3 linked regions of the Yarrowia lipolytica genome follow. The protein of the gene in region 1 interacts with the protein of each later gene in a pairwise test. Links are inferred from orthologs where the notes say so. Each region holds a gene or a part of one and is shown on either strand. Other genes may lie near its edges. The genes, in order: YALI1_E39924g, YALI1_F26039g and YALI1_B28830g.

Evidence for each region.
Region 2: the proteins of YALI1_E39924g (region 1) and YALI1_F26039g interact in binary tests that used the Saccharomyces cerevisiae proteins (3 or more experiments, as listed by UniProt). The link is inferred for Yarrowia lipolytica from reciprocal best matches to the Saccharomyces cerevisiae genes GDI1 and YPT7.
Region 3: the proteins of YALI1_E39924g (region 1) and YALI1_B28830g interact in binary tests that used the Saccharomyces cerevisiae proteins (3 or more experiments, as listed by UniProt). The link is inferred for Yarrowia lipolytica from reciprocal best matches to the Saccharomyces cerevisiae genes GDI1 and YPT6.

Annotation. Positions count from the first base shown.
Region 1 is NC_090774.1:3,990,414-3,994,163, forward strand, and holds YALI1_E39924g (uncharacterized protein), read right to left. Parts: upstream 1,977-3,750; coding exon 624-1,976; downstream 1-623. Other genes in the region: YALI1_E39886g (uncharacterized protein), read left to right, coding at 1-372; YALI1_E39934g (uncharacterized protein), read left to right, coding at 3,055-3,750. UniProt on the Saccharomyces cerevisiae protein: Regulates the GDP/GTP exchange reaction of SEC4 by inhibiting the dissociation of GDP from it, and the subsequent binding of GTP to SEC4. Plays an essential role in the yeast secretory pathway.
Region 2 is NC_090775.1:2,602,820-2,606,245, forward strand, and holds YALI1_F26039g (uncharacterized protein), read right to left. Parts: upstream 1,371-3,426; coding exon 1,297-1,370; intron 1,084-1,296; coding exon 540-1,083; downstream 1-539. Other genes in the region: YALI1_F26012g (uncharacterized protein), read left to right, coding at 1-282; YALI1_F26058g (uncharacterized protein), read left to right, coding at 3,032-3,061, 3,123-3,426. UniProt on the Saccharomyces cerevisiae protein: Ypt/Rab-type GTPases are key regulators of membrane trafficking and intracellular vesicular transport.
Region 3 is NC_090771.1:2,880,974-2,884,366, reverse strand, and holds YALI1_B28830g (uncharacterized protein), read right to left. Parts: upstream 1,331-3,393; coding exon 1,326-1,330; intron 1,263-1,325; coding exon 1,179-1,262; intron 1,131-1,178; coding exon 518-1,130; downstream 1-517. UniProt on the Saccharomyces cerevisiae protein: Protein transport. Might participate in post-Golgi transport.

The sequences.
Region 1 (3,750 bases):
TCAGTGTCCCAGCGGGGTATCAACCCCCGATACTTCGGGGCTGATGGACCTCCAGGAGGCCTCCACCAAGGAGCTCCTCCTCCTCCTCATATGCGAGGACCCCCACCTCATATGGGAATGGGTGGTCCCAACATGGGTGGCCACAACATGGGTGGCCACAACATGGGTGGTCCTCCTCCCAATATGGGTCCTCGACCTCCTTATGGTGGCGGGGGACCTGGTCATGGCAATAAGCACGATCTCTTGCTTTCGGGCAACCCCGACTTCCAGTTCCAGCCTCAAACTCGGCGAAAACCTGGTCGCGGCGGTCGACCCGGCATGTCTCCTGCTAGCTTAATGGGCCGAGATACCGGACCATACAGCATGAGATGAACAACTTAATCAGGCACTCTAGAGCCTGGTTAATACTTTTTATTCTAGGCGTTGTAATTAATTTATTTGGTTGGTTAACACTGTGCGAGTGTGTAGGATGGGGTCTGGGTTGCGTATGCGTTTACTTAACATTAACGAGTCATCAATTTATCTTATATTCGCAGTTATCTACTCTGCAATTCCCTAAGTAAGATTACATAATATCATGCATAATCACTCATTTCAATATATTATCATTACAGACATGCAGCTTACTCGGCTCTAATAGCGCTCTCATCCTCCTCGTTCTCGGGTCGGGGCTTGACCACCAGGGGCTGGCCAGTCAGGCGGAAATAAATGTCCTTGACATCGTCAGTGGTCGACTCGAAATGCGAAGACGAGTCGTAGGACTTGGAGATGAAGACTCCGTCCTTGGTGCCATCCTCGATGGGCTCGTAGATGTCGGCAATGCCCATCAGGGTCTCCTTTCGGGGACCCAGCAGGTTGAAGGCAGGCTCAAGCTCAATGTGGGGCTTGTCGGTCTCGATGATGGTGGAGACAATGGCCAGGTAGTGGTCCTTGGCGCAGACGTTGTGGGCAGAAGACATGACAGCAATATAAATGTCGTTCTTTCGCTGGACCTGGTTCTGGGGGATGATGATCTGAACAGAGTCCAGGTTGCCAGTGTTGGGCACGGGGTGGTCCAAAATGCACATGGCTCGGATAACCTTCTGGCCAGTCTTCTTGACCTTCTCAGGGAAGTAGGTGGGATCACCGATGACAATGGGAGCGGAAGCAACCTCGCCCTCAGACTTGACACCAGTCACCTTGCCGTCCTCACCGTAGACAATCTCGTCAACGGGCTTGTTAAGCATGAAGGTACCTCCGTAGATGGCGGAGAGACGGGCAAAACCCTGGGGCAGCTCACCCAGACCGTAGACGGGGTAGATGTAAGGAGACTTTCCGTATCGGGCCATGGAGTTGAGGTAGAGGGCGATTCGCTCCACGGTCTCTCGAGCAGGCTGCTTGAGGTAGTCGTCGTTGGTCCACAGAGCCATAGAGTGGCCCACAAAGTCCCGAGTGCCGGTCTCAAGACCAAACTTGAGGTAGACCTCGGACATGGTGTTGGTGTCGAGCTTGAGGCCCTGGTGGGTGGCGAGATCGTCCTCCTTGTAGCCTCCGACGAACTCGAGGAACTTGGCAAGTCGTCGCTTCTCAAACATACCCATGAGAGAAGAGTTAATGGCCTCCGATCGGTTGGAGGGCACCTTGGCGATCTTTCCAGATCGGAAAACGAAGGAGCCGGAAATCTGCTTAAAGTCGATGTATCGGGTCACGTTGGTGTGCACCAGAATGTTGGAAAGCTCTCCATTGGCCATGAGGAATTTAGGGATCAGATCCACGTTCCAGTCTCGGTCTCGGCCCAGTCCGTCGGGCTTGGTGTCCTCCTTGCCAGGTCTGAACTTCTTGTAGAGCTGGGTAAGGTTGAGAGAAGCAGACTCTCCACCGTAGTGGTCCTGCCGGTCAATGTGCAACACCTTCTTGCCCTCGACGGATAGGATACCGGAGAGAATGCACTCGGTAAGGCCCGTGCCGAGCACAATGACGTCGTATTTTTCGTCCATGATGATATGTGGGTTGTTGTATAAGAAGGGTTCAAGAGAGAGGTTCCACGAAGGCTAGCGTAAGGTGTTGCTTAAGGGACGTGGTTGATTAGGGTTGCGTTACCCGGATTTGGTTACTAGTGCAATCTGGGTTAGGTCTTTCCGTGGAAGGTGACACTATAAAGTACAAGCTATGGTAGGGAGGTAGAGTCAGTTGTCGTTTAATCATGACAGGTACCCGCCTCCCCAGCTCTCATCATAGTGTAGCGACTCATCTCTAGATTCGCCATATCGCTACGTGGCCATGCATGGTTGCACGGTTGGGACACCCGTCATGCAGAATCAGGGATGTTAATAGCCACACAAGGCTTGGAGGTGTGAGTGCGGCAGTGCGACTGAAAGAGTTAGCCTGTGATCAGTGAGACAATTGAGTGTTTATCTGGGTGAATTGATAAGTTGTATACGTTCATATCGTTTATTGATGATTGCGTGGCCATCGTAACAGCACGTGCATATTCTCAGCAGTACTCATGTGTGTCTCCTGGGAGCTGAGTTGTTGCTGCGGTTACCATCATCATGATCGTATCCTCGTAATTTTAGCCATACGAGTACGATACCATTGCAGGTACTTGTACTGTATTGATACGAGGCGAGCAGAGTCGATATAGAGCACATAACGATAGGGAAAGAGTGGGACAATTGCTAGAAACTATGGCGTTCCTATTGTTTTTGTTCTTCCCTCTCTCCAGATAAATTTCTCATAACCTGCCTTAACCATGGCTTGAGAATCATTTCCCTCTGAATTTTCACTTTTGATCAGAAAAAAGTAACGTTCCACCGTTCTGATGGATATGTACTGCGGCTTTAGAGGTCCTATTTAGGAAACTACATGCGACGATTGGATATGAATAACACCGATTTCAAGCTGACTCTTCGATGCCGAGTGCTTTTGTCTTCTCCACCCCCACATCCAGTACCCCCACATTCAACCCCCCACACCAGATTATTGAGTACATGTTTAGGCAACCTTATACGGCTCTAGACCAGTGATAAGTAAGAGTCAAATTCATCCTTCTCGAAACATCACAACGACAGTGAAATGACTCGATTGCCGCTGATATCGATAAAAGACGCGAAGTTCCGCATGATTGGGGCCCTGGCCTCGTCAGGATCCAACCCTTACATTTTCCCCAATCCCATTTCGCTGACAATCAACCCGGATGAGAAATGGGTCATCAGTGGACCTCGAAAGTCGCAATTGATGTCCATTCTGGCCGCCAAACATGTATCAGATCCACCTCTGGGCCGGCAGTACCCTTTCCTCAAGAAAAAACGGGTTCCCAGCCAAGTCATCCAGACGCTGGAGTTCCGAGGATCAATCAACATGGGTCACTTGTCAGCTCGATATGAGTTCTTCAAGGACGAGTTCGACATGACTCTCATCGAGGAGCTCAAGCGAGCCTCCCGTGATCCCGCAACCGCGATGGACGACATTCCCCAGTTGCTGAAGATGTTGGAGCTGGACCAAATTGGTGATCGATGGTTTGGAGCTCTTTCCAACGGGCAGACCCGGCGATCTCGAATCGCCAAGGCTCTCATGAAGCATCCCGAGCTTCTGCTCATCGACGACCCCTTCCTTGGTCTCGATCCCGGTGCCGCTGACCTTGTCAGCAATGTCTGCAAGGAATTGCCTGAGACCAGAGGTACACACGCCATTCTGGGTCTGAGATCCCACGAGACGGTCCCCGACTGGATCACCCACGTGGCTTACGCCGATAAGTCTGGAATCGTGGTT
Region 2 (3,426 bases), on another chromosome or scaffold:
GGATGGACCTTCCTGGAGGTCCCTGAGAGAGATATGCTATCTTCTCTACCGCGGTCGTCCGATTGGGAAATGGACTACATGCCTGAACAGTGGGTAGCTTGGTGGGGTGCCTGGCGCAAGTACCTCGAGATTGACCAGGACGAAAAGTGGGTCTATGACATTCTTCCCGACGGATTCAGGGGTACTTGGAGAAGAAGACGGTGGACCAGTCTGTGCAAGCGAAAGTCGTATCTGAAGTCCAATGTTGTTGGTCGTGTCGGAGAACGGCGTGAGCACGATTGAGCCGCAAAACAATAAGATCATATAAGTTATTGCATTATTTATTATTCAGCCATATGTAATTGGAAGTGACAAGTTCTTCCTGAACAAGTATGGTACGAGTAGGGTAGGCTCTTGTAACCACCTTGTCCGTTGCACAGTGTACAGTGGTTAAACCGAAGGAGCCATGAACGTCGTCTACAGCTCATCTAGCTACCGTACACAAAATCCCATCCTAACCTCTAATATATTAACATACGTGCCCCTGCGATAAATACTTCTTAACAAGCACAGTTGGACTGCTCATTATCCAGATGGATGTTGATGGTGTCGGCGAAATCGTCCGTGTAGTCCTCTGAGTCCACCTGTGCCATGGCGTTTCGAGCAACGGTCTCGAAAGCCTGGTCTACACCAGTGTCCTCCTTGGCACTGGTCTCAAAATAGGGAATGTTGCCGGTTGCCTTGCAGAAGGCCTGGGCTCGCTTGGCGGAAACTGCCCGCTTGCTCTCCTCCACATCCACCTTGTTACCGATCACCACAAAAGGAAAGTTTTCTGGGTCTCGGGGGTTGGCAAGGAGAAGGAACTCATCTCGCCACAGAGTCAGGGCATCAAAACTCTTGGAGTTGTTGACATCGTAGACCAGAACGCAACAGTCGGCGCCTCGGTAGAAAGCCAGACCGAGGGATTGGAACCGTTCCTGACCGGCCGTGTCCCAGATTTGCATGTTGACTTTTCGGCCCTCGAGAGTCAGCTCTTTGTTGAGAAAGTCGGCTCCGATCGTGGCCTTGTATTGTGTGCTGAACTTGTTGTTGACGTACTGTTGCCTTGGTTAGTATCTGATAGTAGGTGGAAGAAAGCGAATCAAGCTGTGGGAAACGATGTCATTCGTTGCTCCCCATCTCTGTCTTCTCTTCATCTGTGGCATAATCCCAATGACGATTTTGTTGCCCAACAACCGTTTGAGTCGACGAAAGGTTGCCATGGTAGCACATCAACCAGGGGGCCCAGCAGACTGCGCTTTGTGTTGGTATACTTACATCAACGACGACTTACCAACGCCGGAGTCGCCGAGGATGACGACCTTCAGCATGGTTCTCTTTTTGGGCGGCATGGTTGTCTGTAATGGATAAGGACCATTATGATGTCGGCCATGTTGGGATATAGACCGGGGTTAGGGTAATTTGCCGTGGGGGACCACAACATAGGAGCGATTGGGAGGTGCATGTGACGAGGAAAAGGTGCTCAGGGGGAGATGAGCTGATGTGGGGTTTCCAAGGGGGATAAACGGGGGGGAGATGCAGATTATATAGATACGAGGTGTTACATAGAGTGTGTGATGTGAGGAGGAGGGTATCATGTGGAGGAAATGGTTGGTAGGTATAGGCAACCTTGATGACGTAATTAGACACTCCAACATCTAAACGCTCATTCACAAAACCTGAGGGCAGAGGATATTTGATGAACAATTTTAGTCCAAGAGTATTTCTAATCGTGACTTGAATTGAGGGCAATAGTTGATATTCCAGTAAGTACAGTACAGTACAATGCTCGTACTTTATTGTAGTAAGGAAGAGCTGTCTGTTTCGGTGTAAAATTATGGTCTGAAATTCTCTTTGCCAGTTACGTGGATACTTGGCCATTTACTTATCTTTACTTAGAACACGTGCACTATGCACTATGCGCGCGGTGTACGAATACTGTAGGAAGGACAAGCAGAGATGATCAGAGACACATTCCGATGACAGTTCTGTTATAGGTGGCGCCGAACTTTTATACCTACTGTCATCACAACCATCATATCTCGTTACTTTGCTATTCCACACTTGTTTCCTACAGGGCCCTTGTACATTCAGTTTCACTGTTCACAGCCGTGTCCAACCTACATGTACAGGATGTACAGTATGGACAGGTACTTAGACGTTCTGTACTTGCAAATATGTCTGTATTCTTGTATCCACTTCTGGTATGAGTACGAAGGACAGTTCGGTTCCTGCGGCAAAGTACGCTCTCTGGGGGTGCTTTGGTCAGCATAATCAATGCTGCATCTCGTATTGTGCTCACAAATCGTTTTTGTTGCTGGCTCCCAGTGTCGTTGTAACCTTCTGAACAGAGTGGGCAGGCAGCCATTTATTTGACAAGGTGTCAGATGAACAGCCGCCAAACGTGGCCATAACGGCAATGGAAAGTGAACAAAATACTGGAATCTCTGGTATAAATAGACCGCAAACTTCCCAGACAGGTTGTTTAAGTCGGGTGAATTTATTTCCACCCTCTCTCACCTCTCCCAGCATACTCTGCTCCATCCTTTTCAGTAAGTCCTCCCTTCACCGTCTCGTCTGAAACAAACTTTTAAAGGGTACAACTACAAGCATCTCGTGCAGCAAAATCAAAAAGTCGCCAACAGCATCTCAATTCTGCAACTATCGGTCTTCTTTAGTGCAACGACACATGTGTGAGTATATATGGGCCAGGACTCTGCATTTCGAGCCACTCAATGCCTCAGCACTAACTTGCAATGCTACAAGTGATCCGTACTAACGCAGCTTCGTCAAAACAGGTGAGAACAGAGAACCACGACCACGGGCGACAATGAGACGACCACATGCGATAAGGACGAACAGGATGGAAGATACGAACAACACTCGGGGTTAAAGCGACCCAGACTAGGTCTGGACCCTGGGATGCCCTTTTTCGTGCCCAGAACGGTTGATAGAATATTGGTGAAATGTTCTAGACCCTTCAGATCAGCCGTGTCATGATTCGAAAGAAGTCATGATCATCAACATGATATCCGCGCACCCAGTCAGTCAGGTGAAGTCAGGTCGATACTCGCGCCCATTTTACTATTTCACTACTAACATAGCCAAAAGCCAACGCGCTGAGAAGCCGGATTTCGGCGCCTCCAGGCTCGGCCAGCTCTCCACGGTCAGCCAAGAGAGTCGCATCAGCTGGAGGAGTGAAAAAAGCTGCAACAGCCAAGCCAACCTCCACGCGGTCTGCTAATCAGCTTAAGAACAACGCACTCTTTCAGGCCATCAAGGGTATTCCCAGAACATCTCCGACAGCCCCTGCCCAACCAGCTCAGCCACGACCAGGCCAGGAGTTGAGAGACCGAATCTCCGGAAAGACGCCCGCAAAGACTCAAGCGCCACCTCCAGCTAAGACAA
Region 3 (3,393 bases), on another chromosome or scaffold:
ACTACAAGTAGCTACTACACCTACTTGTAGTCTCCAGGGGCTCCTGGATAGACGGTATGATGTGTATGTGAAGCTGGCCCCTTTCAGAATCCATATTTCTGTCAGATGGTTCATGAGATACCTCTGATACGAGTACAGTAGGTACAGTAGATACAGTACTTGGTACATACTGCACAGGACTCTAGGGTCTTGAGCACTCTCTGTCGGGGGAGGCTTTTGAAGAGAACGCGTCATATATATCCATCTGAATACTCATACTGAAGGAGAATCATGGGTGTTCCTAGACAATCGGAACATCTACAGCAAGTTCTAGACTGCAGATACTCCACCTGTAACCCCTGAGCCCCTGATGTCTATAACGCATGTGCAGGGAGAGCGCGACACGGTAGATTGTTTTACGATATCGTTTTTACTGGCTGAAGCACCCAGTCTTCCACACCTCTGTCGTTAAATTAATTTCACCTATTTACTTACATCCATGCTCAGTGTCATAATACTCTTATCCTCCACAGCCTGTCTAACACGAGCAGCTGTCCTGCTCAGGCTCGTTTGTAATATTCACGTCAATCAGCTCGCTCTGGTCGGTCTTGAGAGCCGTCTCGAGACCGGGCAGCTCGGACGCCACCTTGTTGAGAATCGACTTGACATTGTGGCCAGCCTTGGCCGACGTCTCCAGAAACAGCGCGTCGTACTGCTTGGCCTTTTCCTGTCCCTCCTCGGTCGTCACCTCTCGTGACTCCTCCAGATCGCTCTTGTTTCCAACTAGCATGAGCACCACTTGATTTCCTCGCTCGGCCTTGACGTCCTCAATCCACTTGTCCACGTCCACAAACGACTTGCGCGAGTCGATGGCGTACACAACAATGGCAATGTGACTATCTCGGATGTATGCTGGCACCAGAGATCGGAACCGCTCCTGGCCCGCAGTGTCCCATAACTGCAGCCGGATGGTTCGATCGGGCAGATACATGGGTTTGGACAGAAACTGGATGCCGATGGTTGCCTCGTAGTTCTGGTCAAACTTGTCGTACATGATTCGCGTGATCAGCGACGTTTTTCCCACACTCTGCTCGCCCACAATGACAAGTTTGAACTTTTGGATTTGTCCTGTTTCGGTCATCTTAGTGGTTCTGTGCGACTATCTGGGGCGGTGGAAGCGTGTCTTGTAACGGTGAAACTGTCGGGTGGCAAAAGTCGCGGGTTTGTGTGACTTGTTTCGTGTCTTTGCTTCGCTTTTCGGTAGCTCAAATCGCCGTTCTGTGCTTCACCCTGATATTATCACAACCTGTTAGTCCGTCATGTCCCTCTGGGTGGTGACAACTCACTGCATGTGTGGGGGTTAGGGTTTGTACCGGTTAAGGTTGTGGGTCTTGTGATTAGGGCTGAGGTGTTCTGTGAAACGGGCATGGCCAATTCTGAAGAGTGGAATGGACACCTCCAAATTTCTGCGAGTTGATTCCAGTTTGAATTTTTTCTGTGGCGTCATTACTGCGGAAAACACACTCCGTCTACAAGACTCCTGATCACGTGTGCACCGTTGGCAGACAGATTAGGCTGCTCATACGGACTGTTGGGAGAACGAAACTTGAGCGATATGAAAGGAGACATGAGAGAGACCTACAAGTATCGTACTTGTAGACATAGGCCTGGAAGCGGAAGCGGAAGCGGAAGGTGTGGGCACAATAAATAAGACTTGTTGTGTTTATACAAGCACGCTATATTACGAGTATTATTAGTCCATTGTGGCACCTGTGTGCAAACTATTTCGTACTACGCGTACTACTCGTACACGCACAACGGGAAGGTGTTTACGTGAGAAAAACTTGGGGCATGATATATGGATAATATGGACTGATACAGTAATCTCCCTTGAAGTCATTGGTGACGTGTATTTTTACGAAAGAGCTCCATTGCACGTCGATTTCACTGTACACCTCGGCAACTACAACCGACCCTCGGCTACCCTTGACAGTTGATGTGCCGTTGTAATGTCGTCTAGAGTCGAGATTGCAACAGCCTCCATATCATTTTTTCAGTCTAAACCAGTTTTTATCTGCTCCTCAGTCGTTACTCAGCAGATCTAGACTATCTGTTGGGTGCATGGGTGCAAACCAACCGAACTCTTACTGCCGGCAAGAGACACTTGTTTCATGGAAATTAGACTGAAATGTGTCTGTATTTTGACTATGGAAACGTCTCTATACAATAGATTACTGCAGATGTTTATATCTAGCTCTGTTTATACGTGTGTTGGTCCTCGCTCTCAAACAAGTGCCCTGTCCGGTCCATCTCTTCAGCATATACTACGGCCCAAGTCAAGTTGCAAGTCTAGTAGCACATTCTATTGACGATGCAGTAAATTTACAGTAAAAGACTTGGAATGTGCTCGTCGCTAAACTGTTGGTTCACCCCTACCCCTGGATGTGCCGCCCTCGAGACATGCTTTAGATCTTCGGAACATACAAGGGTACAAATAGTCGTGTTTGTATTCGTACAGGCAGTAATCCAAGGGTTCATCAGTTAGTCTAAGACTACAGTATGTACTTATGAGGTTGTATATTACCCAAGGACCCTGCTGCATCTCCCTGACATGGCGAGAAAGTCCACGTTTTCAACAACTCAACAGGAATGAGGCACTCGTACACCACACATTGGTACGTAAACCTGTGTTACTCTTTTCCAGCAATTCTGTCAATACTGTTTCCTCCACCTAGTGTCAACAAGACCAATGGTCGTACCCTTGTAGCTTTCACGCGCTAATGGTTTAGGTCCACTTGATGAAGAATATATCAACTGCCCAGCGTGTCAGTTGTGTCTTAGTCATGGGTAATACCTGGTCTGTTGGCTCACAATTTATACGGCAATCTCGTAGTTCGATTGCACATCTCTGACCTGTCGTAATCTCCTCGTATTCGTTTATAAATGGGGGCTTTATCCATGCGGATCGTGCATAAGACATGTATTGGGGACACGCGAATTGTTCTGGACTTGGCTAACACTATGTACTCGTAGTTAGGATATAGCGTGTTTCAGACTGTTTTGCAGTAGTCGGGTTCCATATATCCCTTGGTTGGTGAACTGGGTGAGCCGAGGCCCATTGTTTCTGGGGTTGAATGGGGGGGGGGGGGGGGGGGTTCAAAAAATGTAAGAAATTGGAGAAAAGTGCGAGAATACAGAAGTGAGGAGGATAAAAAGGCGAGATATCTGATTCTGCTTAAACAGGAAACATTTCTGCTTCAGGAATTTCATCCTGTCAAATACATTGTAAGGAAGACGGGACTTCCCTGAGGAACGGTTGTATCCAGTTCATAGAGGATTGCAATTTTACAGCTCGATACCACTTGTTTACAACCCTTAGTGTTATTTACTATGTCACTGTGACCGGTATGCTGA